4 linked regions of the Diceros bicornis minor genome follow. The protein of the gene in region 2 purifies or fractionates together with the protein of the main gene of each other region. This does not show direct contact. Links are inferred from orthologs where the notes say so. Each region holds a gene or a part of one and is shown on either strand. Other genes may lie near its edges. The genes, in order: ASB2, CUL5, WSB1 and PCMTD2.

The links.
Region 1: the proteins of CUL5 (region 2) and ASB2 purify together in Homo sapiens (affinity purification with western blotting; 5 studies listed by BioGRID and IntAct, counting the BioPlex papers as one, with this or other methods). This does not show direct contact. The link is inferred for Diceros bicornis minor from reciprocal best matches to the Homo sapiens genes CUL5 and ASB2.
Region 3: the proteins of CUL5 (region 2) and WSB1 purify together in Homo sapiens (affinity purification with mass spectrometry; 4 studies listed by BioGRID and IntAct, counting the BioPlex papers as one, with this or other methods). This does not show direct contact. The link is inferred for Diceros bicornis minor from reciprocal best matches to the Homo sapiens genes CUL5 and WSB1.
Region 4: the proteins of CUL5 (region 2) and PCMTD2 purify together in Homo sapiens (affinity purification with mass spectrometry; 4 studies listed by BioGRID and IntAct, counting the BioPlex papers as one, with this or other methods). This does not show direct contact. The link is inferred for Diceros bicornis minor from reciprocal best matches to the Homo sapiens genes CUL5 and PCMTD2.

Annotation. Positions count from the first base shown.
Region 1 is NC_080763.1:39,509,810-39,517,070, forward strand, and holds the start of ASB2 (ankyrin repeat and SOCS box protein 2), read right to left. Parts: upstream 3,132-7,261; coding exon 2,926-3,131; intron 1-2,925. UniProt on the Homo sapiens protein: Substrate-recognition component of a SCF-like ECS (Elongin-Cullin-SOCS-box protein) E3 ubiquitin-protein ligase complex which mediates the ubiquitination and subsequent proteasomal degradation of target proteins.
Region 2 is NC_080746.1:27,791,808-27,799,403, forward strand, and holds the start of CUL5 (cullin-5), read right to left. Parts: upstream 3,016-7,596; 5' UTR 2,992-3,015; coding exon 2,765-2,991; intron 2,438-2,764; exon of another isoform or gene 2,277-2,437; intron 1-2,276. UniProt on the Homo sapiens protein: Core component of multiple cullin-5-RING E3 ubiquitin-protein ligase complexes (ECS complexes, also named CRL5 complexes), which mediate the ubiquitination and subsequent proteasomal degradation of target proteins.
Region 3 is NC_080757.1:20,206,672-20,214,159, forward strand, and holds the start of WSB1 (WD repeat and SOCS box-containing protein 1), read right to left. Parts: upstream 3,371-7,488; 5' UTR 3,103-3,370; coding exon 3,063-3,102; intron 1-3,062. UniProt on the Homo sapiens protein: Probable substrate-recognition component of a SCF-like ECS (Elongin-Cullin-SOCS-box protein) E3 ubiquitin ligase complex which mediates the ubiquitination and subsequent proteasomal degradation of target proteins.
Region 4 is NC_080758.1:26,715-34,528, reverse strand, and holds the start of PCMTD2 (protein-L-isoaspartate O-methyltransferase domain-containing protein 2), read left to right. Parts: upstream 1-4,607; 5' UTR 4,608-4,716; intron 4,717-5,349; exon of another isoform or gene 5,350-5,571; intron 5,572-5,581; exon of another isoform or gene 5,582-7,717; intron 7,718-7,814. UniProt on the Homo sapiens protein: May act as a substrate recognition component of an ECS (Elongin BC-CUL5-SOCS-box protein) E3 ubiquitin ligase complex which mediates the ubiquitination and subsequent proteasomal degradation of target proteins.

The sequences.
Region 1 (7,261 bases), on a different chromosome or scaffold from region 2:
TACACCTGCTCTGAGTCTATTTGGATGGAAACTGTGACATTCAGGGATAGAAGCAAACAAGGACTCTGTCGGGTCCTGCACGTACTGTGATGCCCTGTCTGGTGTCAGGCACAAGCCTGTGTGTCTCATGTCTCTGGGGACCCTGAGTCTCTGTGGGTGGGAGGCGGGTGTAGTGAGACCGACCCCACTTCAAGGTGGAGGAGGGAGAGGAAACAGAAGAGGCTTTTGCAGAATCGGCAGAGCTGGTGACACGTCTGAACTTCAGATCAGGCCAGACTGTGGTTCAGTTCCTGGTCCTACTGTGCGCATGTTTTGTCATATGTAAAGCGGGCACAGAAATATCCAGCTTGTGTGGCTTTCGTAAGGATCACTGAATGGCTGTGTGCCAGGCACGTGGGAAGCACTCAGTGTGCATTCAGGGCAGGAGGAGGAGAATTACGTTAAAAGTCAGAGTAATGGGGGCCCGCCCGGTGGTGCACCGGTTAAGTGTGTGCACTCTGCTTTGGAGGCCCGGGGTTCGCAGGTTTGGATCCCAGGTGCGCACCAACGCACCACCTGTCAAGCCATGCTGTGGCGGCGTCTCACATAAAGTAGAGGAAGATGGGCACAGGTGTTAGCCCAGGGCCAATCTTCCTCAGCAAAAAGAGGAGGACTGGCATCAGATGTTAGCTCAGGGCTAGTCCTCCTCACACAAGCACACACAAAAATCAGAGTAAAGGGATTTACTTCCCCAGCAGGGCCCAAGCCCAGCCTCCTTCCAGAGACAAAGGGGCAGAACCAAACCTAGGAGGTTTGAGGTCACATCAAGGGTGAGATGAAGGCCGAATCCTTCTCCCCTACATTACTTGTGCCTGGATCTTAGGTGAGGGCCACTTGACCTTGGCTAAGTCATTTCACTTCTCTGTGAGAGGTTTTTTTCCTCCCCAAAGCCCCTAGTACATAGTTGTATATCCTAGTTGTACGTCCTTCTAGTTCTTCTATGTGGGACACCGCCTCAGCCTGGCTCGATGAGCGGTGAGTAGGCCCACACCCAGGATCTGAACCCGCAAGCCCCAGGCCACCAAAGCGGAAAGTGTGAACTTAACCGCTGCGCCACCGGGCCAGCCCCTCTGTGAGAGCTTTTTTTTTAGGAGACTGGGTGAACGTTTATGTCCCACAGTGGGTCTCTGCTTCCCTACCCTCTAGAGGAAGGAGGGGGTCAGGACCCAACCTCAAGAGCCCCTTCAGTTCTAAGGATGTTAAGTGTCCCTGGGACACCTGGGTGGGGCCCCCATGCTGGGGAGAAGGCTGCAGACGCCCCGGGACGTGCCGGCTTGTGCTGCAGGCCCAGTAGGTGGGAGGGTGCTCTCTCTCTATCTGATGCCCTACTGAGAAAGGGGAACCTGTGGTCTGACTCTGGCTGAACTGGCCAGAACAGGAACCAAGGCCTCCGAGAGCACCCCCATGAGGAGTCCTCGGCTCTGGGCTCCTGTTTTTCTGGTTGGGTCGCAGAATGGGGCGTCCTCTGGGGCAGCTCAGTAACCTGGAGCCTCACACTCCCTCCAGCTGCCCGAGGAGGCTGCCTGCCTTCCCCTTTAGAAGGAGCTCCTCAGGGCTGGGCCTCCCAGGCCTTTGCCCAGCCTGCCCGGCAGAGGTGGTCCAGCCTCAGTAAGGGCCAAAGTCACCTGGGAAGCGCCCTGGTAGGTTTCATCAGGGCTGAGACGGACTGTCACCCACCTTCATCCCTGTCAACTGGGACTGGACATTGGAAAAAGTCTATTTATTGTTGCTGCTGTTGTTACTATTATTATTATTAGAGAAGGAAGCTGAGATTCAGAGAGGTTAAGTGACTTGCCCAAGGTCACACAGGGAGTCAGCTGGCTGCTGGAGACAATGAGATTTGAGGCCCATGCCCCAAGGTAACACCAACACAACTGTCACAGCAATTCCCAAGCCCCTTCCACCAACCCCAAAATACACACTTGACTTGGACTCACTGGTGAGCAGAAACATTTTTAAAATGTGTATATTTCTTTTCTAAAAGCATTTTAAGATCCAAGACCTAATTACCTCTCTGGCTCCACCTCCTACAGAGAAGGTGTCCTCTAGGTCTGTGCTGTCCAGTACGGCAGCCACTGGCCACATATGGCTAGTGAGCCCTTGAGATGTGGCTAGTCTGAATGGAGAGGCGCTGTGAGTGCAAAATACACAGTGGATTCCAAAGCCTTGACATGTAAAAAAGAATGTGAAAATCTCCTTCACAATTTTTATATCGGTGATGTGTGGAAATGATAATATTTTAGACACAAATTAATTTCCCCTCTTCCTCTTTACTTTGTAATGTGGCTACTAGGATGTTCACAGCTGCATAAGTGTCGCCGCAGTTGTGGCTCACGCCGTATTTCTATTGGCGCGACGTGGTGCTGCTCTAGATGGTCCTGCATCTGGGATGGTCATGCTGAGATGGGGGAGCCAGAACAAGGAGGCAGGATGGCTCTGCTGGGTAGCTGTCGTTTGCTTCTCAGATGTGTTGTCCCAGAGAGGCTGCATAGACGGGGTTGGAAGCTCTGGTCAGACTCAGAACATTGGTTTTACTGTATTCAAACATTGAGTCAGCTGTGCAGGCCAAGCCACGGGCTTTGGACCCAGATAGTTCCAATCTCTGCAACACCATCTACTAGCTGTGTGACCTTGAACTAGTTACTCAGCCCTGAGCTTCAGTTTCCTCATCTGTAAAATGGGAATATAGCATAGAGCCTCCTAGAAGGTCCTTAACAGGATTAGCACACAGCACTTGGCACCATCAGAGCTCAGTACGTTCAGATAACAAATGTAAGTCATTAAGGTGTTAAAGTGCAGCCTAGAGATCACGATAATTTGGCCTTGGATTAACAGTGTTTGGGATCTGCACCTGATGGATGACCCAGCTGGTTTCTCCTCGCTCACCTGGTCCATGGGTAGAAATGGGCAGGTTGGCGATTGGCACGTGTGGACACAGTGGCTTCAGCAGTGGCAGGGCCCCGAGTCTTGTCATCCAGGCTCTGCTCGATGGCCATCTGGACCAGCTCATCCTCACTCAGGCTGCTGTACAGGCTGTACTCCTCGTGCCCAATGGTACGCTGTCCGCCCCGAGCACGGATCTCAGTGGCCATCCTCCTCCACTTCTCAGCCCAGCCTCCAGGAGAGACACTCAGAGGGGAGGAGGAAACTGCAAATCAGAAAACCCTGTGAGGAGACCAAAACCATCCTGGTCACTAACAGTTTTGCAACATAGCTATGTTTACCCACGGGGAAGGCTGTGCTCTCTTCTGGCAATCACGCAATCATTTTTTATCCATTTATTTTGTCATATGATCAAGTCAACCACCCATTCATCTACATATCCATCCACCCATCCACTCATCTATTCACCAGTCCACCCACCTATCTAACCATCCATCCAACCAGCCACCCATCTGTCCATTTATTCATCCTCCCATGCATCCGTCTGTCTATCCAGCCACTCATATATCCATCCACCCTCCCATCTGTCCACTTATCCATCCATTTATCCAACTATCTAATCATCCATCCATTCAACCATCCACGCTCCTAGCCAGCCACTCACGTATCTATCATCTAACCATCCACCCATTCCTCCATTATCCATCCTCTGATCTATCTGCCCATCTATGCTTCCATTTATCCACCCATCCTCCCATCCATCCATCTATACATTTATCTATCCAACAAACCATCCACAATTCATTTTTCCAATCCACACGGCCTATCTATACGTGTATGCATGCATCATTAAATGAGAGATTATTTATTGAGCACCTATTTTGTGTCAGGCACTCTTCCAAGCGCTATGATACAACAATGATCCCAACAGACAAAAATCTCTGCCCTCCTGGAGCTTACACAATGGTGCTTACATTCCTCCCTTCTAATTATCCGACAACATCCCATCTGTCCCGGCACTTCTCCATTTCTCTGCACTGTCCTAGGGCTGAGAATACTAGAGATGAATCGGACACAGGCCCGCTACTTAAGATTGCATGACCTAGTTAAAATCAATTATTAAAATAATTTGCCATGTTAATTCCAGGGACTCTCTTCTGGAAAAAAAAAAAAAATGCCTCAAGGAGAAACGGACTTTGGTTGAATCAACTGCTCTTAGGAAATCAACTAAGCCTGATTTTCTTTTCCTCAACTAAGCTGACACATGATGTGACTATAGGTCAATGGTTCTTAGCCCTGGCTGAACATTACAATCATATGAGGTCTTTTTAAAAATATCCAAAATGTGGGTCTGGCCCAGTGGTGTAGTGGTCAAGTTTGCATGCTCCACTTTGGTGGCCCAGGGTTTGCAGGTTCGGATCCTGGGTGCGGACCTATGCACCACTCATCAAGCCATGCTGTGGCGGCGTCCCATATACAGTAGAGGAAGATGGGCACGGATGTTAGCCCAGGGTCAGTCTTCCTCAGCAAAAAGAGGAGGATTGGCAACAGATGTTAGCTTAGGGCTAATCTTCCTCACCAAAAAATATATATATATATCCAAAATGTCAGTGCTATAATTTGGTTTGTTCGGCAAATATTCACCCCTTCCCCCTGGAGGCAGAGTGCCCCGCCCCCTTACTCACTGAGATTAGACTTGGCCTTGTGACTTGCTCCGGCCGGTAACTGTTGGTGGACATGACAAAGCAGCCACTTGACATGGGCTTGTGCAGTGGGGCTGGCTTTCCCGTCATCGCCAGAGCAGAGCTCCTCCTGCAGCCACTGCCCTTTAGCTGCACCCCGGAGTAAACCCCCCTGGGGCAGTTCACAGAGTCCAGCTTGCACAGAGGAGCCCCACCCGGCAGGGCCTGCAGCCCGAAGCTGAGCAGAGCAGCCTGGGCTGGCCTCGATTAGCCTGTCTGCAGTCTTGCAGACCCAAAGCACAAGAGTAGATGGTTATTTGGGGTGCTTTTTATGTAGCATTCCTGTGGCTCTAGTTAACTGATACCCCAAAGATTCGGCCAAGTACTTCACAAAGAGGACATCCAAATGGCCAATAACCAAATGGAAGGGCGCTTAACTTCGTAAGTGTCCGGGGGAAATTCAAATTAAGACCCCCACGCAATACCACTATACACCCACCAGAACGGCTCAAGTGAAAAAGACGGGAACTAGAAAGAGCTGGGGAGGATGCGAGCGATCAGACTGCTCAGCACCGTTGGTAGGAGTGTGAAACGGTAAAACCGCTTTGGAAAATGAATGGCATTCGCTAAAGCTAACATGCACATGCCCTGTGACCCAAGCGCCCACCCTTAGCTCTACGCCCAAAAGAATTGTGTACATATGCTCACCAAAGGGTAAGTTCAAGAATCATAACGGCGCCATTCATGGTAAACCCAAACGGACACTCCTCAATGTCTCTCGTGGATGACTACGTTGTGGTGTATTCACGGGATGATTAGCATGCTCTAGTGAAAGTGACAAACAGCCACTACACACAACAGGATGCATGTCACCAACCACAGTGAGCAGGTCAGATAATGAGGAACATGTATACTCAATTCCATTTATACAAAGTTCAAGAACAGGCAAAACTAAACTGTGCTGATAGAAGTCAGAACAGTGGTTCCCTTTGAGGGGAGACAGGAGGGAGATTCCAGGGAGCCGGTCATGCTGTGCTTCTCTTTTTGGTGAGGAAGCTTGGCCCTGAGCTAACATCCGTTGCCAATCTTCCTCTTTTTGCTCAGCAAGATTGGTCCTGAGCTAACATCTGTGCCCACCTTCCTCTATTTTGTATATGGGATGCCTCCACAGCGTGGCTTGATAAGCAGTGCGTCGGTCTGTGCCCAGGATCCGAACCGGCAAACCCTGGGCCAGCAAAGCGGAGCATGCGATCTTAACCGCCACACCACTGGGCTGGTCCCCATGCTGTGTTTCTTGAACTAAGTCGTTACACGGCTGGTTGGTTCCCTTTGTGAGACTCCCAGGAGCTGCTCAAGTTTGGCTTGTAGACTTCTCTGTGAGCACCTATACTGCAAACATAGCTACTTAAAAAGTGTATAAAATCAGCTCTAAACAGTATCAGTGTTTGGGCCCCACCTCTGACCAATTAAGTCAGGATCTCTGGGAGTGGGGCCGGTATCATACTTCTCTGAAGAGCCCCCCAGGTGGTCGGGAACCACCACTTTGGAGAATGACCAGCCATAAAGTACAAATAGAGGCGGGACAGCCATGGGGGGAGGGGATGAGGGGTGGCACCTGACACCGAGCTCTTGGTAGATATTCTTTTTTCCAATTCCTGTTACCACCCTAAGAGTAACAACTGTTGCTCTATGAAGCCCTAGCAAATAGCAAAGGAGAGTTGTTACCATTAAACAAATGTGTATGTTTTCCTTTAGCAAATACCATCAATTTACCAAATACCACAGTGGTTTTGCCCTTCGAAATCTAGTCTTCGCCCTCCCTTCACCCTCTTCCTTTACACACCTGACTTCCAGGTAAGGCGGGGACACACGTTTCCCCCAACCCGCCTGCGGTTCCCACTCCAGTGCCCTTGCTTGGGCTGTGCCTGACACATCTCCCTCCCTCCTGCACTCTTAGAACTCCTTCTCATCCCTCAAGGCCCAGAGCAAGTGCTTCCTCTTCCGGGAAGCCTACCCAGATTCTTCTAAGAAGTGTTTCGATGCTAGAACTTCTCCCTCTGGGCTGTGGTCAGTAGTCCATGTGTGGACATGACCCAAGATCCTCTTCACCAAGGCCAGTGTCTTATGCAAAGAGAATGCCCAGTTAAAGTCAACTGCACTGGTGGCCAAATGTCTCCATATGGTAGGGTGTGGCAGACCCTCTTGATGGCCCACCCAACAGCCATTTCCCCCATCTTCTCTGCCAGCAGAACCTGGCTTTGTTCAGGCAACAGTGTGCTCTCTCCCATGGTCAGTTGGGACAATCTTATCCCTTGGCCAGTGACTAGTTTAGGAGTGGACATATAGCGTAGTTTTGTCCGAAGAGACATAAAGGAAATTCTGCTGGGGTCTCCTAAGAAGGACTTTCCCTTTCCTAATAAAAGAGAAAGCAGTGAAGAAGTGACTCTGTGCCCACACTCCTGCTTTGTGCTTGGAGGACTTGATGCTTGGAGCAGCAGCAGCCATCTTGTAACCATGAGGGGGACAGTGTTGATACAATGAGTTTGACAGAGTGAATGATAGGTCTTCTGGGTCCTTCATTATATTGTTGAGCGGCCGAACCAATGCTGGGTCTGCCCACCAGGGCCTGCTTGTTAAGTAAAGACTGAAGATCCTTA
Region 2 (7,596 bases):
AACTTCTATCTTTAATGAAGGCACTGTAATTTTGAGTCTCCTCAATACAGCAATTTAACATTTAACTTCATTAAAACATAGTGTTAATAATAAAAACTTGACATTTGAGTTTTATATTACAATTTACAATATGCTCACATACACATTACTTTTCTAAACCTTCACTTTGATTTTGTTCCTTTTTATTTTTTGCAAGTATTGTCTACTAGCACATGTTAATCTAAGATCAAAAACTAAGTCTTTATTTGTCAATTACACCTCAATATAGCTGGAGAAAAAAGAAAACTAAGGCTAATTATGGTCATAATTATCAGTTCACTACTTTGTTGTTCTGTAACATATTTGTTTATGCTTTCAAGCTACAATTTGGGCTGTCTAAAGTAGGTTCCTTTTTGTTAGTTTATATATTACCACCAAGAAACCTCCAAATATAATATTTCCAACAAATTCCTAATGGTGTGATTATAACTAATGACAGGAATATATCTTCATGAACTATAGTACCTTTCTATGACATAAATGTGCAAGGATGTCTATTATTCAAAATAAGTATCTGTATTTTCTTGGAGAAAGATACAGAATGATTTAACAGTAATTGTTTTAAATGCAATTTTATGGAAAAACACATTCTGCTAAAGGGGAGAAAAGCAAGTACATATTTGGAGGTAGCTACTGAAATATGTATGTATTTATGAATACTTCTTTGGTAAAGAGCCAAACAAAATAAAGTATGACTCATTGTCAGTAAACATTCCCTAAATGTCCTTGCATTATTATGGGAGAATGACTGTCTGGTTTTAATAATGTATATAAAATGAATTACTATTTACATTCTTCTTAAAGGCATTAAAAAACAATGATCTATTTAGCAGAAAGGTCTTTAAAATCTACCAAATTAATTATCCTTTACTTTCTTGCCAATCAGTTTAGGAGCTACTTTTAAAGAAAGAATTATTAGATACAATAAGATTTTACTACCTGTATTTCTTGTAGTTGCAATTCACAATAGCTGCTAGAAGTTTAAGGCATAAAGAACATGTTTTTATTATATTTATGTCAGAAGGTAGAGCAAGAGCTATTAGTAAATGCTTTTTTTCTGCCTTTTTTATGACCATGGACTGTCTTAAAGTTCATCTCTGATTGAGATCACAAGTGAAGGAATTTGCCATCAACTTCAGAATGGTAAAACTGCAAGAAATATTAGAGACGATGATGACTCCTTCATTTTACAGATGAGGAATCAGAAGTTTGAAGAGTTATTTTAATTAAAGGAGGCTTCTTGAAAAAAAATTCTTCAGAATTCTAGGTATTGTACAATTCAAATCAATAACCTTAAACATCTCTCTGAAGGGCTGGCCTTACCGTATGTCCACTTCATACACAGGAAAACTAAGGTAAAAGCAAGCTAAGCAGTTCACTTATCATCTCTGTGAATCGGTGTCACAGCTGGGAATGGAAGCCTAAACTTTAAATGTTGGAACATTCTCAGAAGTAGGCTGATCTCACTCGGAACAGATGCTGGCTGGGGTGAGGGGAAGCCACGTTTGGGAAGTCCCGTCATGGAGTACTGGATTTCACAAGCAGAGTACTTGCTGAAGATTGCAAAATGCTTGCTTAAATGAATTCCAAATGATAATGCAATCTTAAAAAACCTCCAAACAGTACAATATATCCCATTCCCTACCTTCCTCTAAAAAAAAGTGTCCTTGAATTCTAGAAATTGGAATTGTGCTTTATATCTGGTTCAATCTTAAATATCCAGGAAATGCATAAGATTTACATTTAGTTTTTACTTATGTAACATGAGTCGCCTTTGTGAAATCTTTCCTTCAGGGTCTCAATGAACATTTAGAATGAAACTATTCATTTGGATCCCTCCTTCTCTATTTAGAAATGTATTTTCTGATCTATTATCACCCTGGAACGTTAAGTACCCATTATAAAATAAAGGAAAAGTTCCTGACAAATCTCAGTATAATCTCTCTTTTCCCCACCAAAGCACCAATGACGACAAACTTCTAAAGACACCACAACCCTTAGAAAACAAAACAAAACAAACCCTCAGCTGTGTCAGTGACCCTGATGTTACATCCAGTTGCTGAACAAGACACATTCCCACGGGTCCTAGCCCAGTATTTGTGATGACCACATTCGGCGCTATGAGGTGTTCAAACCATTACCGCATCCATCTCCCTCTGAACCATGCCCAATGAGATCATGCAGTAACCTGGGTTGGAGCACTGCTTGCTGTGAAGCTAAAGGGATCAATCACGAACCTGGAAACGCTACTTTTGCAGTTCTCCCGGGCCGCATAGTAGGAAGCCGTTTGGTTAGGGGAAGAAGAGGGGAGCTTGGAGGTGGGTGGCCAGGTCAGGGGGTGCGCATCGAGGGACGCTGAGTTTGGGGAGAAGGCAGAGGGGAGCCGAAGAGCTGGGGATCAAAATACCAGCAGGGGCAGAGAGAGCTGGGGAAGAGGGGGCCGGCGAGGGTGACCCCGGCTCAGGCGGGAAGGAAAGACGGAAAGGGGGCGCAGGAAATGGGCGCCAAAGAAAGAAGTGAGAAATTGCGGAGGAGGAAGTCGTCCCTGGAAGAGGAGGGGCAAAGGGGAAGCGAGAATGGAGTGTCTGCACTTTAGAGAGGGGGGGGCCGGAGCCTCTCCCGACCAGGGCTGGTGCGGCTGGCGCTTGGGGAAGGGGCGCCCGGGCGGACGGAGGGGGCGACGCGGTCCCTGGGGTCCCCGAGGTCCCGGGGGTGGCGGCCCTACCTGAACCGCTCCTGTCCCGCCGTGTCCCAGAGCTGCAGCTTGATCCTCTTGCCCGGCTCGATCTCCAGCAGGCGGGAGAAGAAGTCCACGCCGACGGTGGGGTCGCAGGCGGGGGAGCGCAGCCCGGGAAAGCGGCCCTGGGTGAAGCGGTGCAGGAGGCACGACTTGCCCACGGTGGAGTCCCCGATCACGATGAGGCGGAACTGGTAGATCCAGATGGTCTCCATCGCTCACGTGCCCCGCCGACTCGCTGGCTGCCCCACCCGCCCTCCCACCGCGGGGCAAGTTCTGCGGCGGGAACTGTCCGTTCAGCACCTCCCGGGCGCCCGCCGGTCGGCTTCCAGCATATTCCTGCGGCTGCGGCCGCCGCCTAGTCCCCGCCCTCTCTGGAGGGAGAGGCGGGGCCCGGCCGGGGCGGGGGCGGGGCCTCGGGCCAGGGGGCGGGGCGGGGCCGCCGCGCGAGGGAGGGGGAAACAGGCTCGCAGCGCACAGACTCCCGCCCCCGACCTCTGTAAATCACTCTCCCTCAAAGCTCACTGGGCGTGGACGGGAAAGCGGGTGTGGTGAAAGGACGTGACGGCAGCAAGAACCAATGAAAATGAAGCAAGGTCTCACCTCTGGGAGGGTCAGCCAATGAAAAGTGAGAATCGTTTCCTTACAGGCTTCAGGGCGGGCTCGTCAGATTCAGGCTCTGATTTTGGAAGTCGCAGAGGCCATAAGGTGGGTCACTGCTCTTGCTTCTTTCATCAGTTTGATCAGCTTTGTGACTACTGTTACCTTCTACGTTTCTGAAGATTCCAGTTGGCCGTTTCCTGCTCTCTAGCCTTGCTGAGCGCCACCTTCGAGGCGTTCTAAGGTGAAGGAGTTGAGAGCAGGATGGAAAAAAAATTTGCAGAGCAAATTCTGGATGCTTCTAGCAAGGGTTTTGGCCATTGTTCCTGGCACCACCAGCTGTTCCTCAGTGCTTTCAGTACCACAGAAGAGTGAGAAAAATGCCAAGTAGTCATCTCCGTACTCTCAGGCGCCCTCCAGCCTGGAGAAAGGAGAAAAAAAGTGAAATATTGAGATGCTTATGAAAGCTCCCATTCTTCTTGTCTCAGTTCTATAAATCGGAAAAATCCTAAAGTGGTCTCTATTTAGCTTGTGTCTGGTCAGGGATCTAAATAAACAAAGCACACCTGAATTCTGGTGAGATCTTACTATATTCTAATGCCTTTCTTCAAACTAGATAATAGTGAATTCAAGATTTAATTTTTAAAACTTAAACAGTTTTTAAAGTGTATTTTTGACAAAATAGAATTTTCAACAATTCCACTTTTTTTCATGCCCACATCCAAACTTATGCTATCGTTATTAATCCTTACTTCCTTTCTTGTTTTGGAGGAAGAGGTTTCACTTTGAAGGGTGTTTTTAATCCCCTGCCACCCATCTTCTTTGAGCTTTTTTTCCAACGTTGATGTTTATTTCATACCATTTATATCTTAAAAGTCCTCTCTCCAATTGTTTCTACTCCTCAGCCTGTAAACATGCTCAAGTATCCACAATCCTAAAACCAAACAAAACATCTCTCTATTATGCCTCCTCTTTAGAATTTTGCTTCCTCCATTATTCTCCTTTTCAAACGTTTGGAAAGAACCACCTATTCTCATTTCTCAACCATCAGTTAGTCTTCAACAGTCCTCTCCATGCCTAATATACCCCTGAAATTGCTTTAGATAACGTTGCCAGGGACTTCTAAACATCACCCCGTTCCCCATTATCTATCTTTAGTTAGCAAGTTTCTTGACCTCCCTGTAGTTTTGTTGAATATACTCTGTTGCTGAAAGCTGATTGGCTGACCCAATCACAGTCCTATCCACAGTCCTCTTTCTTCTAGTCCTCCTCCACCTATGGATGAGCAAGTGTGGGAGTTCTGACCAATGAGACAGAAGTAGGGCTTCTGGTAAAGCTTTTGCTTTTCTGATAAGGGACTGGCACTCCTAGTGCCCTTCACCCTTTCTCCTTTTCTTTTCCTTTCTACCTGAAAGATGTTAACAACCATCTTGTGACATAAAAATGAAGGATAGATGCTAAAGATGGTGGTAGGAGAGAAAGGAAGAGCCTGAGTCCCTGATGGACTTGTTGATCTGTTGTACTAGCTCTGAACATCTTGTTTGAAACAAATCAATACCTGTTTAAGCGACTGGTGGTTGGATTTTCTATAAATACAACCTGAATACTCTTATTTCTTGTCTTCTACAAAAGCATTGTCTCCTGGTTTCCTGTACTTTTGAACCTTCTTCACTGACTCCTCTTTCGGTGATCCATTTCTTAAGCACTGAAGTTCCTAAGAGATCCATCTATCCTCTTTCCCCTTTCTCCTTTTTTTCCTTCACTTGGAGCTGTTTCTGGTGACCTCATCTACTCCACTGACTTCAGTTACTCCTTTACCCAAACCATGTGTCCTCTCCCCAACCTCTGCTCTGTCTTCAGACCCACATTTCCAACTATCTCTCTTTTTAGATGTTGGATACACATTTCAGACTCAGTACATCTGTGCTGGTTAAGATTCTTTGAAACAAACTCCAGTTAGGGTGATATGAAAAGATGAGTGCACTTATCATAAGGATATAGGGAGAAATTTTACAGAATTCATAGGCAGGAATACAGCTGGTATCAGACAGGGATTGGAACCAGGGAAGGGAAAGCTGTAAGGAACGCAGGCAGCATATGTCTCTGTCTTTTTCATATCTACTTCCTTCTAACATCTGCTTAATTCTTATCTCTCTGCAAACCAGCTTTCTCTGCTGCTTAGTCCGTACGGAAGACTATATTTGCTGCAGATCCCGTATTAGATATCTAGACACATATGGAGACCGATGTCCGTTTCTCTGTAGAGACGATCTAGTTGGCCCAGTTGGAACAGGTGTTCATACCAAAGAGATATGGTCTGTGGGACAGGAACCTGCAGCAGGCCAATCCCTTTGGATGGGGTATATGGGGTATTAGCAGGCCTGGAGAAATGATGCGTCAATGGCTTCCCTTTGTGTCAAAAATATATTCTCTATAATGTCCAAAAATTAACTCAATGGCTTTCTTGCCTTGTTTTCTCGTCCTATATTTTACAGGTTGGTTAATGGTTTTAGTATCTATTCTAGCTCCCTAGACAAGTGAGAGCTTGTGGTGCTGGATCTGGAAGCTGGGAGTTTGTGCTGGGTATGGAGGAGGGATAGAATTGGTCTAAAGGCATCAGAATGTAGAGCTAAGGATAACCTGAGAGATAGCATCCAGGACAGAACTAAAATGGAAAGGAAAGTAGGTAGGTCAACTGAAGCCTCTTAAAGAGACTGGGTAGAAGGAGCAGAATATAGCTGTGAGCCAACAGAATAGAAATTGGGGAATCCAGCCCAAAGAAAGGTTTGAATGGGAAGTCAGAAGCATAGCTTGGTTAGATACCATTAGCCAGAGGAAAAGGCATGGGACTTTTTATAAGGTCCCTAGTCTCAGAAGAGATCTGGTGAGGATACTAAGGTAGTTTAGACAGTACATTTAGTTGATTAAAATGGAATAAAAACCTTGTCCATCTTGGACTTGTCCCTCTCCTTTGGCATACTCAGCCAATCACTAAATCTTGTTGCTTTTACCTCAGCAATATCTTTCAGATTTATGATTTTCTGAACTCCCCACTGTCGTTGTCTGTTCAATCTCTTATCACTTTAGACTGTACTGCTCAATAGCCTCTGCATTAGTTTCCTAGGGCTGCTGTAACAAAGTACCATAAATGGAGTGGCTTAAAATAATAGAAATTTATTGTCTCACAGTTCTGGAGGCTGGAAGTCCGAAATCAAGGTGTTGACAGAGTTGGTTCTTCCTGATGGCTGTGAGGGAGAATCTGTTCCATGCCTCTCTCCTAGCTTCTGGTGTTCCATGCCTCTCTCCTAGCTTCTGCTGGCAATCTTTGGTGTTCCTTGGATTGTAGATGTATCACTCCAGTCCTTCACCTTCACATGGCATTTTTCCTGTGTCTCTTCACATAGTCTTCCCTCTGTATATGTCTGTGTCTGTGTCCAAATTGCCCTTTTATACCAGTCATACTGGATTAGGGCCCACCTTAATGACCTCATCTTAACTTGATCATCTGCAAATATAGTTTCCAAATAAGGCACAGTCTGAAGTACTGAAGGTTAGGACTTCAACATATCTTTTTTGGGGGGTACAATTCAACCTATAACAGTCTCCCGTTTAGTTTCTATATTGCTTCCAGAATTACTTTATTAAACACCTTTGATGACTTATTCACCCTAGGAAAAAGTCTAAATACCTAATCATGTCATGCATGACCAATCATAATATGACATGGGTGATCTAGTCAGTGATTCCTCTACAAGACATGCTATTCATGCTATATGTATATTTTTCATGCTATTCTCTCCTCTCCTTATACCCCTTTCACCCATCATTTGGTAGCAAATTCCTATTCATCTTTCAAGGCCAAGGACAAATATTATCTCTCCTTTGTAGTCTTTCTAAACCATTTATATGCCCAAAGAGAATCGATTTCTCTCTCATCTGTGTTCCTACAGCAGTTAAGCAAAGAGTACTCTGTACTTCTATAATATATCTTATATCTTCTATATTATATCTCATATTGAATTATGGCTATTGGTTTGACTCTCTCTCTTGCTAGACTGTAAGTTCCTCAAGGCCAAAGAGATTTATTAATTCATTTTTAGTTCCCCGGCACACAGACATAGCACACAGTGGTGCTCTATACATGCTCACTGAGTGGAAGTGAACTATTAATCATAACTCTCTATGAACCTGTACTTCTATATGTGTGCAGTGGGCACACA
Region 3 (7,488 bases), on a different chromosome or scaffold from region 2:
TTTTTCTTCTTTTACCTTGGCCACAACCACAAAACTCCTCTTGCGTAAAGGATGGCAATAAATTGACAACTAAAAAACTGGTTCAAATAAAAGACCACAAAATAATAAGCTAATTCTTGACTAGACAGAAATTCAAGAAATGAGGCCACTATTTTAAAAACTGCCAAATAAATAGACGCTATACTGTGACAAGTATTGTACTAATAAGTACCTTGTGCTTCCTTGCTCGTTAGCAGGCATTTCAAATGATCTCTGCCTTTTTATCAAATGATTTCAGCACTCATGTAAATACTGACTGGTTACAATATTATAAACTAGGACAAGGTTTAAAATGAAGTGCTTTGAAAAAAAATTGTTATAAGTTAAACTTTTATTACATTACCTGCAACTGTTCAATGTTAGTATCCTACGAAACCTATGATTTAATGACCTTTGTATAAGGGAAAAGCTGCCTGCCCTTGGCAAATCAGCCACAAGATACAACGCTACATTATTAATACCTGTACAGTAGAAACACATCATCTGAGTCATTGCTGAACCAAGCAAACCAGATTTAGCTCCTTCTTCACATTCCTCCCTGCAATTTCATAACCAGAAAGGGAGGATCTGTGGTAGTGCCTCGTGAAAGAGGGCAGGAGCTCAGGGCAGTAACTCCTTGTCACCTAGATGTCTTTAATCATTCATGGAATTTTGCGTCTCCTCTTTCAATATGTACTTGAGAAACCAAACACCTATAATTAATACCCCAAAAAAGGGAAAAAGTCCGTTCTTTCTGATAGATACAAAGCTACACAGAGATATCTGTGTTTAACTTTGTATCCAAATGATACTCCAAAAAAGAAACAAAAAACTGAGGTTTAAAAAAAGGCTAGAAAAGGCCCAAGTTCCTTTAGATAGATATTTGGCAGTTAGCTAGTAACATTATACTACATACAGGAAATAACAATGAGACCTAAATATACAAAAATGTTTTTGTTTTTTTTTGTGAGGAAGATCAGCCCTGAGCTAACATCCATGCTAATCTTCCTCTTTTTTTTTTTGCTGAGGGAGACCAGCTCTGAGCTAACATCTATCGCCAATCCTCCTCCTTTTTTTTTTCCCCAAAGCCCCAGTAGATAGTTGTATGTCATAGCTGCACATCCTTCTAGTTGCTGTATGTGGGACGCGGCCTCAGCACGGCCGGAGAAGCGGTGCGTGGGTGTGCGCCCAGGATCCGAACCCGGGCTGCCAGTAGCAGAGCACGCGCATTTAACTGCTATGCCACAGGGCCAGCCCGAGCAACAATTTTTTAAAATTAAAAATAAAAAGGCTATTTGGATGGTTCTACCTTACTTAAGCATGCTCAGAAGCTCTATCCATCCCTTAGAAGAGAGGACTGGAGGGCCGGCTCCGCTACTGGCGGCCCAGGTTCGGATCCCGGTCTCGCACCGACACACCGCTTGTCCGGCCATGCTGAGGCCCTGTCCCACATACAGCAACTAGAAGGATGTGCAACTATGACATACAACTATCTACTGGGGCTTTGGGGAGAAAAAGGGGGAAAAAAAAAAAGGAGGAGGATTCGCAATAGATGTTAGCTCAGGGCTGATCTTCCTCACAAAAAAAAAAAAAAGGAGAAGTCTGGAAAGTTTTCAAAAAGATTCATCAAGATGAAGTAAAACAAAGATAAATGAAAGGCAGATCACTCACCTGTGATATCACATGCAGTAGGAAAAACAAAAACCCACTGGACTGAGAATAAGAACTTTTGAGTTCTACCTTCCACTTCAGGAAGTACTTACTAGTCTTCAACTACAGTTAAAATAAAAATTGGACATGAACTTTGTGTTCTCTGTATGTTTAAAAAAGTTATTAAAGCCAGAGTTAAAGTCCCCCCCTAACCAGCCATTCAACCTTATCCCTACAAGAACAAAAGTCCAGAATTCTAAGATAGCAGTCTCCAGATATAAAAATTCACCCACTCCAGGATAGAGGGCATTCTGGCTACTTTAGCTTCTCCCTTTCTCTAGAAATATCTCCTCCATGCATTTAGTAAAAGCACACATTTACTTGAAGAACAGGAAAATGCCAAGACTCTCTGCTCAGTAGCCACCTCAAATTTTCATTTAATGAACACAGTAATAAGTTCAGTGTTGGGTTGTCGTTTTTTTTTGGATCCTAAATCTATTTTATTTTTTTAAGTAAAAATTGTATATATTTAAGGTGTCTGACACCATGACTTGATCAGTTCAATGTTTCCTAAGCATAGCAATCAATACACAGCAGCCCCAACTACCCCAAAAGTCGTTCCAGTTATTTTACCTTAAAAGAAAGGATTTAAATAACGCGAGGTGCTTTCAACTGAGTCACTGAGTCGAGTTTGCTCTTCTGTACAACAGCTTTTCTTCTGTCACTCCACCCAACCACTCTGCTCCTCCCTCCTCCTATGTGTAGGAAAGATAATGCCGCGTCTCCTCCCCCGAACTGCTGCCTTTCTTACCGCCGTATCATTTTTTAAAATATTGCTTTTTCCAGGCTGATCGCACCTCTTCGTCGCATTTCTCCTTAAAGTGTGGTTGGTATCCATGAGGACCCCTCCTTTCCTTACAGCTCAGAACACACAAGTTTAGTCTTCCCATCGTAAACTTAACTGAGGGTCCCTGAGACTTGCTCAGCACCCCCCTGTCCACTCGATGCCCCAGCCGCTGAGCCACGAGAATGCCAGAATACTAGCTCGATGAGGAAACTGGGGTCCCCAGGGGTGCGTGTCCGCCCTGGCCTCATGGTCACTGGGGCCCTGGCCACTGGGCGCCCAGATCCCCGTCGACCCTGAGATCCGCGCACCGCTCCCCTCCGTGCAGGCGCACAGTAGGCGCTGCATCAGCGTCGATCCCACTCACCCCCGGCGACACCCACCCACCCGCGGGGCGCTTCCTTCCTCTCCGCTCCAGGGCTTGGCCCCGGCTCCCCCTCCTTCCCTCGGACTCAGAGACGCTTCCTCCCCAGCCTCCTCCGGGAGTCCCTGCCTCTCCGCAGCCCCCGCGCGCCCCCCAGCACCCCGCACCCACCGTCCCGTTCCTCACCGATCTCTTTTTCGTTGACCCTCGGGGGAAAGCTGGCCATCTATGGGGCACCGTCTGATTCCGGGGGCGCGATGCGGACGCAACGACAGAGAAGGGAACGGCGAGCGGAGAGGGGCGTGACGCGGGCTCGGTCCCTCCCGGTCCCGGGGACGGAGGGGAGGGGCGGGGGCGGTCGCGGCGGCCTCTGCCCACTGCCCCAGGAAAGTTCTCGAAGGCCTCGGACCAAACTACAGAGTCAAATACAGACAATAGACCCTGTTCCCTGCCTCACGCCTACGGACCAAGACACTTCCTTCCACGCTGTCGACGGCAAACCAGACACTAGAGACAAAATGGCGGGCGGAGCCGGTGATATCAGGGTGACGGGGCGGGGCTTGATGGCGTCACGGCCGAGGCCCCGCCTCCCGACGCTGGGGACGTGACGGCCTCGGCCCAGCGCCCCGCCCTCCCCCGGTGCGCGGGGGCGTTGTCTAGGGGGATCCGACCCCGAGAGCAGGAAGAGCGCGGAGGCGGGGGTGGAGGGGCTGCCGCCCAGCGCAGCGGGCGGAGGTCGGGACGTCGAGTAGGAGCCTACTGGCTGCGTTTAACTCGGGCTGGTTTTCCCGGCCGGGCCTCAGCATGGTATTTATAAGTTGAGTGCCTTTGAAAAGGCAGACAGACTCGTATAATACTTCTTAGCCCACAGCTTAAAGATTGCATGGAATTTAAACTGGCTGAACCGAAAAGAACACAAGAGACATTTCAGATTTTAACTCGATTTGGCCACCTCCCCAGACCGCATGTGCTAGGGAACTGGAGGTTGCACTGATGAAGAAGACGGGATGAGAATGAACACCGCTATGCACCACACGTGTGGCCGCGACTGTTCTAGCCGGTTTTAGGAAGGGCGGAGAGGACTGGGCATGATGGCGTCCCACCCCACCACGGGACCTCCCTGGGCTGCCTTTGTCCTGACTGGTTCCTCTGCTGGACCTGCCCTGGGGCTGCAGCGAGGTGGTCAGCGGTCTCCTGGCCGCTGGCCGAGGCAGACCCCACCGTGCCAGCTCAGAAGCGGCCCTTCCTGCACCCAAGGTCTAGGCCCCCGGGGGGCAGCTAGCTGTTCACACGGCAGGGCTGATAAATGTGTCAGTGTCTGCCAGAAGCCAAGTTGTTCCCGTTTACAGATGACATATTTGCATTTTCATGGGCCCTTCTTTGGACTCTAAATCTTATTCCAAAGGAGGACATTTAAGGCTGGGAATTTCAAATATGCGGCAGATACTGAGGGGAGAGGAGTTGCGTAGCCAAACTCTTGAGAGATGTCAAATGACAACACGTAGGGCATGTCTACTTCATCTTTTTCTTTGCCTGAGTGATAATAGTGAAATGTTTAATGGCCAATAATAAGAAATCATCCCCCCTCCTTATTAAAAAAAAATCACTTTGTTACATTCAGTTAACGTGTTTATTCACAGCTTACTCTGTGCCTGGCACTGGGGCTCGTTGCTGAGTATTTAGAGCAGAACAAAAGAAAATTTTTAATGCAGTCTTGTAGCTCATATACCAACATTTCTATCAGTCCCTGTTAATTCTTTTAACAAACTATTACTTGTGTTTACTTGCACTATACCATACAAATTCATGGAAAATACCAGTTCTTGAATGTCTGTGAATTATTTTGGTGCCTTTTTCATACAACTATTGAATTCCACAGTAGTTTACTCCTGCAAGCCAACAGACCTTCTGACCATTTTCTCAACTGGCAAAGTATGACAGTGGAATGAAAATAACTTTATGATTTGTGTACTCATTAGTGATAATATCTAGTGTTTATTGGGTCCATACTACATGCTAGACTCTGTTCATATAAGTTCTTTGGTGGATTAACCCATTTCATGCCCACAACAGTATAAGTGGTGTAATTAATCATTCATATTTTACACTTAGTAACTTGACAACAGTCACAGAGTTACTAAGTGGCAAGCGCTAGATTTGAACCTAGGCTTGTCCGACTGCCCTGCCCTACTTCCATGCTACCTTGTCTCTTATAAAGGAAACGTATCTTGAAAAGCAAATATATACTCGTCATTTCACATCTATGTTTGTTATTTTAACGTCAATCTGAATGGCCATCTTATCCCCTGCATATCCCATAAAGTTGGGGTTCTCCAGAGCTCTGTCCTTTGCCCACAGTTTTTTTCTTCTTTTTTCTCCTTGGGTTATGGCAACCTCTCTTGGGTTTAACTATCAGCCGGATGTGAAGACTCTCAAGTCCAGACCTGACTTCTCTCTTGAGCTTAAAAGTTACATATTTGAATACTTACAATAAAGCTCAACATGTCAAAACTGAGCACATCATCTTCTCTCCCAAACCTGCTCCATCTTTTATATTCCCTGCTCTAGTGAACATGTCCACCCACTCATCCAAGCCAGAGGCCAGTCTTCTTAGACTCCTCCTCCTCGCTCAACCACACATGAAATCCATCAGTCCACAAGCGCTGCCAGTATTTTCTCTTAAATTGTTCTGGAGTCTGTCCTGTCTGTTCCAGTTCAGCGGCCTTAGTTCAAGATCTTGTCATGTCTTCTCTCTTAACAATCCTTTATAACCCAGCACTCTGAGAAACCACCACCAGCGCGTTGGTGTAGTTCCTTCCAGTCTTTTTAAAATTTCCCAGCTGTGTGTCGTTCGGCAAGTTATTTAGCCTCCCTGTGCTTCAGTCTTCTCATCTATAAAACAGGGATAGTAATAATACCACCTTCACAGTTTTGAGGATAAGTGAGTTAATACAAGAAAAGCATTTAGAACAGGGTCTGACACAGAGTACTATGTAAGGGTTATACTATTTTTGTATATAGTAATCCAAGCTAACTGCAAAATTGAAAGATCAAAATCTCATAAAAATAAGGGATTGGCAAAGAGCCATAAAAATAGCATTAACTGTATGTATAATCAAAATAATAAAAGGTCTGGAAAGCGTTAATTTCCAAAACAAAGGTGATGCAACCACTAAAGACTCATTCTTTTGAATCTCATTCTTGAGTTACTCAGAAAACATTGCTGCTGTGTGGTTATTTGCTAAGGTCAATTTACTCATAATTTTTATGTGGATATTATCTCTTTCAAAATTTTTGAACCAACATTTACTATCTTGAAGTGGAAGTTTTTTTCTTTTTTTTAATTTGCATCCTCCTTTATTCCATTTTCTCCCATCTCAGCAAAAAGTTGTATCAACAGTCTGGCATTTTCATATAATTATACCACTTAAGGGTATGTTTTTTCTACACCATTTTCTTATACTGACAAGGAGGTACGTAAGCATAAAAGAGGGGGAGCAATAATTTCTACATTCTTTTGTTCAAGGAGAGTAAATATAATGATGCATATGTAAATAATTAGCATTTGAGTAGACGACAACATGAAAGTTGTATCTTGCCTTTTTGCTTTCATATTATAAAATCATATTTTTCTATGTTGATAAACACTTTTCACCACATCATTGTAGGTAAACTTAACTTCATTTGGAGGTGAACTTCTTCCTTTCCTCCCCTGGAATACATAATACTTAATAGTGCAGAAAGGTGGGTTTCTCCTGTAATTAACTTTTCATTACTCATATGGACATTGTGGGTAGATTTCTCTTGATGTCACGAATCTAACCAGTTCGCCATTGTGGCCTTTTGTGGGAGAATCCGTGTTCACCAAAAGTTAGAGCAATTCAAGTGGATTGCTGTTAAGATGTACATCCATATGGGTCTCTGAAGTTAACAGACGAGACTCTAAATAAGGATTCCTGGGACAGATTTCTTCAGAATCTTATTTCTAAACCTGTATCTTGGTGAGAGAAGAAAGTAAGTGTCCTCTTCCTATAACTAAAGGGAAGCAATATTTACTTAAAACAACAACCAAACATGACTAAGATAAAGGGAAAAAAATAACTTTTACAACAGGGGTTTGAAGCCCACCGAATATTTTATTGTTCCCTAACGTGGTTAAATCTCAAAGACGAAAAAGATTGCCATCATTCTTTGACTCTGTATTGACCAAGACCAAACAAACAAACAAAAGTTAGTAACAGCTTGGAAAGCCTGTATTGTTTAAGCAATAGGAGAGTTCCTTCTTTGCTTGTTTTTGCTTTTTGGACCTCTTGTTACTAAAACTACTCCAGCCTAAACCTTAGGCAAAGCATGAGAATTCATCCAGAATTATTCTGTGCTTGGGTGCGGGGTAGGAGTTTCAAATCATGGGATTTGTGGAGTTGAGTATGGTATTCTAGATTGAAGAGTGTGGAATTTGCTCAGGAGTCAACAAGATAAGCATAATTGATACACATAAACACGTGTATTAATAAACAGTAAGAGAAAATTGTGGAACATGCTGGAAAAATAATAGACCCCAGAGGAAAATTCTGGAGGCAACTCCTTTTGGCTGCGGTAGTCTTGCTGGGGA
Region 4 (7,814 bases), on a different chromosome or scaffold from region 2:
TGTATCACACGGAATAGTTTCACTGCCCTGAAAGTCCTCTGTGTTCCACTTATTTGTCCCTCTCTCTCCCCTACCCTCATCCCTGACAGCCACTAATCTTAGATCTACTCTTTCTACAGTTTTGCCTTTCCCAAAATGTCATATTGTTGGAATCATACAGTATGTAGCCTTTTCAGACTGGTTTCTTTCCTTTAGCAATAAACATATAAGGTTCCTTCGTGTCTTTTTATGGCTTGATAGCTCAATTCTTTTTATCAGATTTACAGTCCATCGTCTGAATATACCACAGTTTGTATGCCCATTTCACCTATTAAAGGATATCTTAGTTGCTTCCAAATTTTGGCAATTACAAACAAAGCTGCTATAAACATCTGTCTGCAGGTTTTTTGTGTGGACGTAGTTTTCATGTCATTTGGGTAAATACCAAGGAGTGCAACTGCTGGATCGTATGGTAAGAGTCTATGTAGTTTTGTAAGAAACCACCAAACTGTCTTCCAGAGTGACTGTACTATTTTGCATTCCTACTGGCAGTGAATGAGAGTTCCTGTTGCTCCACATCCTCACCAGCATTTGGTGTTCTCAGTGTTCTGGATTTTGGCCATTCTAATAGGTGTGTACGGTATTTCACTGGTGTTTTCTTTGCATTTCCCTGACGACATGAGATGTGGAGCATCTTTTCGTATGCTTACTTGCCATTTGTATATCTTCTTGCTGAGACACCTGTCCAGGGCATTGTGAGTTGTTTTGTTTTTTTTATTGTTGAGTTTTAAGAGTTCTTTGTATATTTTGAATACAAGTCTTTTATCAGATAAGTGTTTTGTGAATATTTTCTCTCAATCTGTGGCTTGTCTTTTCATTCTCTCGATAGTGTCTTTCACAGACGGGAAAAATGTAAATTTAATGAAATCCACCTTACCAATTTTTTCCTTAATGAATCATGTGTTTGATGTTGTATGTAAAACAACATTGCCAAGTCCAAGGTTACCTAGATTTTCTTCGATGTTATCTTCTAGAACTTTTGTGTGAAAATGGAGAGGTTTGTGTCTAGATTCATTTTTGTACATGTGGATCTCCAGTTGTTCCAGTACCATTTGTTGAAAAGACTACCCTTTCTCCATTGAATTGATTTGCTCCTTTGTCAAAGAACAGTTGCTTATATTTATGTGGGTCTATTTCTGGGCTCTCTATTCTGTTCCATTGATCTATTTGTCTGTCTTTCACCAATACCACGCTGTCTTGATTACTGGAACTTTATAGTAAATCTTGAAATTAGGTGGTGTCAGTCCTCCAACTTTGTTCTTCTGCTTCACCATTGTGTTGACTTTTCTGGGTCTTTTCCCCCTCCATATAAACTTTAGAATCAGTTTGTTGATATCCACAAATAACTTGCTAGGATTTAATTGAAATTGCATTGAATCTACAGATAAAGTTGGGAATATCTGTCAATTTATTTAGATCTTTGATTTCTTTCATCAGAGGTTTGTAGTTTTCTCATAGATCTTATACTTTTTTGGTTAGATTTATACCTAAGTATTTCATTTTTTTGGTACTGATGTAAGCAGTGTTGTGTTTTTAATTTCAAATTCCAATTGTTCATCGCTGGTATATAGGAAAGCTTTGATTTTTGAATTTTAACTTTGTATCCTGCAACCTTGTTAAACTTGACTATTAGTTCCAGGAGTTTATTTACTTATTTTTTATAGATTCTTGGGTATATGCTGTATAGACAATCTTGTCATCTGTGAACAAAGAGGTTTTTTTTTTTTTAATTTTTTTTTTTTTGTGAGGAAGATCAGCCCTGAGCTAACATCCATGCTAATCCTCCTCTTTTTGCTGAGGAAGACTGGCTCTGAGCTGATCTATTGCCAATCCTCCTCCTTTTTTTTTCCCCCAAATCCCCAGTAGATAGTTGTACGTCATAGTTGCACATCCCTCTAGTTGCTGTATGAACAAAGAGTTTTATTTCTTCCTTCCAAATATGTATACCTTCCCCCCTCCCTTTTCATATTTTATTGGATTAGCCAGATCTTCTAGTACAATCTTGAATGGGAGTAGTGAGAGAGAACATCCTTGCCTTATTCCTGATCTTGTGGGAAAGCATATAGCTTCTCACCATTAAGTATGATGTTAGCTGTGGGCTTTTTGTAGATGTTTATCAAGTTGAGAAAGTTCCCCTCTATTCCTAGTTTGCTGAGAGTTTTTATCATGAATAGGAGCTGGATGTTGTCAAATGCTTTTTTTCCATCTATTGATAAGATTATATGATTTTTTTCTTTAGCCTGTTGATGTGATGATGGATTTCACTGATTGATTTTTGAATGTCGAACTAGCTTGGCACACCTGGAATAAATCCCACTTGACTGTGGTATGTAATTCTTTTTATGTATTGTTGGATTCAATTTGTTAATATTTTGTTGAGGATTTTTGCATCTATGTTTATGAGTGATATTGGTTTATACTTTCCCTTTCTTGTAATGTCTTTGTCTGGTTTTGGTATTAGGGCTGGAGGTTTATCAATTTTACCATTATTTTCAGAGAACCAGCTGTTGGTTTCATTAATTTTCCTTATTGATTTCTTGTTTTCAGTTTCATTGATTTCTGCTCTAATTTTTATTATTTCTTTTCTTCTGTTCATTTTGGATTTAATTTGCTCTTTGTTGTGTCGGTACCCCCCCCTAGTGATGGTGATGCTCTAGGCTAGGAATGCCTGAGGCACTTTCCAGGGCCTGTACTACTTGCAGTAAGCCCCACAAACATTCCCTCCCACCCCACTACTGGGGCCAGTGTTGTGGCTGGGCCGGCCCTCATGGTTCTTATTATGATCGCAGGATGCACTTTAGCAAAAACCATGAGGGAACTCTGAGGAACAAGACTTACTACTCACAAGTCCTGGAGGGTCCCTGGCGTATCCAAGGGCCACACAGTGAGGTTGTTGGGCGGGGGGCGCCCTGCGCTTATTAGGGTCTGAGGATGGGATGTCTGGGTTTCATGGGGTCACTCATTACTGGCAAACTTGAATCATAAGGGCAGGAACTACGACATGGAGACTGGAGGCAGGGTCACTCAAGTGCTCAGTTATCTTGGTCGCCAGGGTTTTCTGAAACGGGACCTTCATGGGTGTGGGAGGGGCTAGTTAGTCTCAACTGATTGATTTTTCTCCTTATTATGAATTGTATTTTCCTCCTTCTTTGTATGCCTGACAATTTTAGATTGGAAGCCAGACATCGTGAATTTTACCTTATTGAGTGTTATATTTTGTATTCTTACAAATATTCCTGAGCTTTGTTCTGGGACACAGTTACTAGGAAGCAGTTTCAAGTCCTTCTTTGACTTGTTTAGTGGGGTCTGAGCAGTAACCAGTGTGGGCTAATTATCTTCACTACCAAGGCAAGATCCTTCTGTGTGCTCCACCCAGTGTCCCGTGAACCAAGAGGTTTCCCAGTCTTTGTGTCAGCTGGGATGTCTCCAGTTGCCATCATGGAGACTCCTATGCAAACCAGCCAGACAAGAAGAAACACTGGTTCTCGGCTCACTTTGCGGGGAGCTTAGACCAGGTCCCTCCAACCGCGCGGAGAGGAGAAGGTCTGTGCAGGCGCAGGGGTGGTGATACCGGCTCAAGACAAGGTTGACATGAGGGAAACCATACTGTAGAAGAGAAACCCTGTTGTAACTTTGAATGACCTCCGACTAACTAGCCCAGCTCGATCTGCACCCTCCAGGAGATCTAACTGCTCTGTAGATTTTACCACCCCTGCTTGTGCATGTACCTCCCAGCTGCCATAAGAGGATAACTATGTTCTTTTGAGTTCCTTAGGAATGTGATAACTCCTGAAGAGAGAGTCTGTGCTGATAGCCATCATCAGTGAAAACTGAAAGATCTGGTGTGGCCACTCCCAGTCTATAACACCCTGGGGTCAACATTCCTAACCCTCTCCCCTGTAACTCAATGGCCTATATAACTGCTGTAAGATCTTCTGCCTCCTGAAGATGGCTCTTCGAGACGTGACACGGCCACCTTCCCTCTTGCTAGCAAGCTGTAATAAAAAGTCCTTTTTCTCCTACCTCCTTGCGTCTTGACTATTGGTATGTCTTGTGGCGGCCAGACGAACCCCCTTTTTGGGCAGTAACAGTGGGAGGTGGCGACGGGCTCTGCCTCCTCGGCCGGCAGGGGTTCCCCCCATTCTGCTCTCTGCACAGGGCTGCCTCCTTCTTGTCTCCCCGGAGATCCCGAGATCTTAGCTCGGATGTCTCTTCCGTGGTCCCCAAGCCACCACCGCAGTTCAGTCCGTCAGTCACCCCGTGTTTTCACTCCCTCCTCCCCTGTCAGCCCCTCCCTGGAATGTCATTTCCAGAGAAGGGGCCCTGCTTAGCCGGCTCACAGCCAAGTACTGGTTCGCGGTGAGGCCCGGACGTAACAATTCTCACCTGTGGCTGCCCTTTGACCGCCCCCCCCGCCCCCCCATTCCCCGCAGAGTGCGATCAGCGGTCCGGCCCGGAGGACTTGGGCAGAGAGCGCGGGCGGGGCCCAGCCACGGCACCGTTGCCGCTTTAAGCTCCGGACCGTGGCGCACGCGTAGTGGGAGCCCTCGCGCACGCAGGCGCAGTGGGGTGGCGGGTGTTTACGGCGGCGGAGGTCGGAGCGGAGCGGCGGCGACGGGCGAGGGGCAAGGAGCTGCAGGCCGGGCAGTGCTCGACCCCGCGCCGGCCAAGCCCTAGGTAGAGCCGCCGCCCTCCGCCCCGCGCTCCTCACCAGCTGCCCCCATACCCCGCGGGCGCCCCCTCCCCAGGGGCCGTCCCCTCCCTCGCGGTGTCCTCCCCTCCCCTCCTCCGGGGCCGTCCTCTCCCCTCCCTCCCGGGTGTCCTCCCTTCCCCTCCCCTGGGCCGTTCTCAACCCTCCCCCAGGGGCCGTTCTCTTCTCTCCCCCGCGGGCGTCCCCTCCCCTGGGGCCGTCCTCCCCCCCTCCTCTCCGCTGGCGTCCCCTCCCCCGGGGCCGTCCTCTCCCTTCCCCCGGGGGCATCCTCTCCCCCTGGGCCGTCCTCTCCGCTTCTCCACTGGCGTCCCCTCCCCCTCCTTCCCCCTCCCCCTCCTTCCCCCCTCCCCCTCCCGTCCCCCCTCCCCCTCCTTCCCCCCTCCCCCTCCCGTCCCCCCTCCCCCTCCTCCTCCCCTCCCCCCACCCCGGTCTCCCCCGTATCCTTCCATCTCTTCCTACTCCTGTGTTCCCTCCGCGTCTTCACCCCAGCTTTCCCCTACCCACCGCGTCCAGTCCCCTTGTCGCCCCCCCCCCCCGCGGCATCTCCCCCATCGCGGAAGTCTGTCTCCCTTCCCCCCCTCCCCTGTCCCCTTCCCCGGAGGGGAGTCTCGGGCTGCGCCCAGCGGTTTGCCCGCCGGCGCTTGGGTATGGGGGTCCCGAGGTCTGCCCCCTCACTGGTGCCTGCACCCTTGGATCTACTTAACTCTCCGATGCGCACCTAGTCTCTAACTTACTAAGTGGGAAAGGTTTGCAGTTAGTCCTAAGGCAAGTCAGGAGTCATCGAGATTTAACACAGATTCTACCTTGGACCTTTATGGAAGGTGACAAAGTCTATTTAAAAACAGTTGCCCCCCCCCCCCAAGTTTTGGGGCTACTAAGAATTGGTGCAGAGCGCTGGGACTGGACTGGAGGAGTGGTTGGGGAAGGAAAACTTACCCGGGCTTGGTGTCTGTGTTTTGTTTGTTTTTGCAAAGGGATGTGGCTCTCAAGTTGATGTTTGCTCCAGCATCAAACCTCAGAAGAGTCGTCTCACTCGCTGCCTCCGCCCTTTACTCGTGTGCCTGTATGCGTTTTCTTTGTTCTTTTTGGCAAAGGAGTGGCTGAAGTAAAGAACTCCGCACTGCGTGTTGAATAGACTGTCATTCAAGAACTAGTGAAGTCAGGTTCCTATAAACAGCTCAGAACTTGTGGCAGTGCTTGGGGGAAATAGAGACATACACTCGGGGAGAGAGGGAGTCTCAGAGGTGATGGGGTTCAGCTCCTGGACCAAGCCCTGGTTGTACCTGTCTGGGGACATCCCTGGGGTTGGGGGACTCCATGTTCTGAGAACGTGTCTGTTTGCAACTCCAGTTGTCAGAAAGCTTTTGTGTGTGTTTAGTATAAACTGTCTCCACCCAACAAGTGTTCCATTGGTCTGGCATTATCAGGCCCGTGAACAGTGTATACATGGCAGCCTTTCAAGTATTTTGAAAATATCCCTTTGCATTCCTTGTAAGAGTTCTGGGTTTCAAGACAAGAAGTCTCAGTTTCTTCCATTACTCTGCGGAAGGAGTGGTTTTGGGTCCGCCCCAGCTCATCTTCCACGTGAATTACTTTGTCCATATTCTTGAGAAGTGACATTCAGGTTGGAGCATGGCCCTCCATGTATAATCTGACAAACCCAGCGTAGACTGGAATGGTGACCCCCATTATCACAGCTTCATGTTGTCTTGACCCGGCCATAGTCACAGCCTCATTAGCTGTCAATCATGAGACCTTTCCATGGCTGCTGCTGCCCAGCCATCTTCCTCACTGCACCCTGGCAGTCAGTTTTGGAAGGAGGTTGTCCTGTTAGGCTGTGATCAGTTACTGTGAGTAGTGAATTATATTAAGGATTGCAAAGTATAATCAATCAAGTGCAGCGTCCAAACAATGATCTGCCATTGCTTTGAAAAATTGGATTTGATGGGATTATAGATCTAGGTTTGGTTTGGCGAGGGTAACTTTGAACCTGTTATTGGTGTTTTTGGTGGCTTGACTGAGCACATCGGTGGTCAGTACTAAGCAGTGGTTATTTCCAGTGTGAGGTAGTGTTAGATTACCAGGCAAAGTTAATATGTGTTAGACCCTGCAGATGGTCACATGCATCCTAGCAGTGGCAACAGATAGGGTTACCCCATAGTTATTTAGTCTGTCATTTGGGACAAAGATGATCAATGTGTTATATGGTAAAGAATGTTGCTCCCTTGAGAATTTTTAAAAGCTGCATTTGCTGTTGGGTAAAGAAAATAGGCCTTTGGCCAGATAGTCCTGTGTTTGAATTCCAGCCTTCTCCTCACACGTTGGTGTGTGATCATGAGCAAAATGACTGCTCTGTCCAAATTTGCCTCATAACGTTGTGAAGCCAAAATGAAGTTGTGACTGGCAGGTGGTGCCTGTAAAAAAGTTGTAGCTATTTTTGCAAAAAGCTAGCCTTTGCATGTGTCATAAACTTTCAAAGTGAGGCAAAGTGGAAAGTAAGTGAAAGGTACTCAGTAGAAAATGAAACGTGTCCAGTATCAAGTTTGTGTCTGCCTTCTGAAGATAGAATGATGGTATTGAGACGGAAGGACAGAAGATTGTATACAGGCTTCTGGGGGAAGAGATGGGTTTCAGATCCACCGTGGAGTATAGATACGTGGTTGTCGGCTTTTTCCTAAATAGATGGTGAGGCAGCCAAACACAACTCCACTTTTAACCAGTGACCCAAATTTTAAGATGACTGTCCTAGACCAGGGATGTAGACTTGAGCGTCAGAACTACGTGGCTTATCCAAGATTAAACTTGACCTCGTTAGTGCTTTTTCCCACCCAGCTAAATTAACTGTCCATGGACCATAATCTCACAAGGACTCTGAAACAACAACTTAAAATGGGAGTGAAAATCGAATAATTGGACCATCCTAGTGATTTGAAAAGCCTATTCAGCTCTAAGATCTTGATGATGAAGGTGAATTGTTCCAACCGTAAAACAAAAGAGCGTTTGTGTTAAGCCCCACCTTTTGTCACCGGGCGGGCTGGCTGTGTTTTCCAGCATCTTGTTAGGC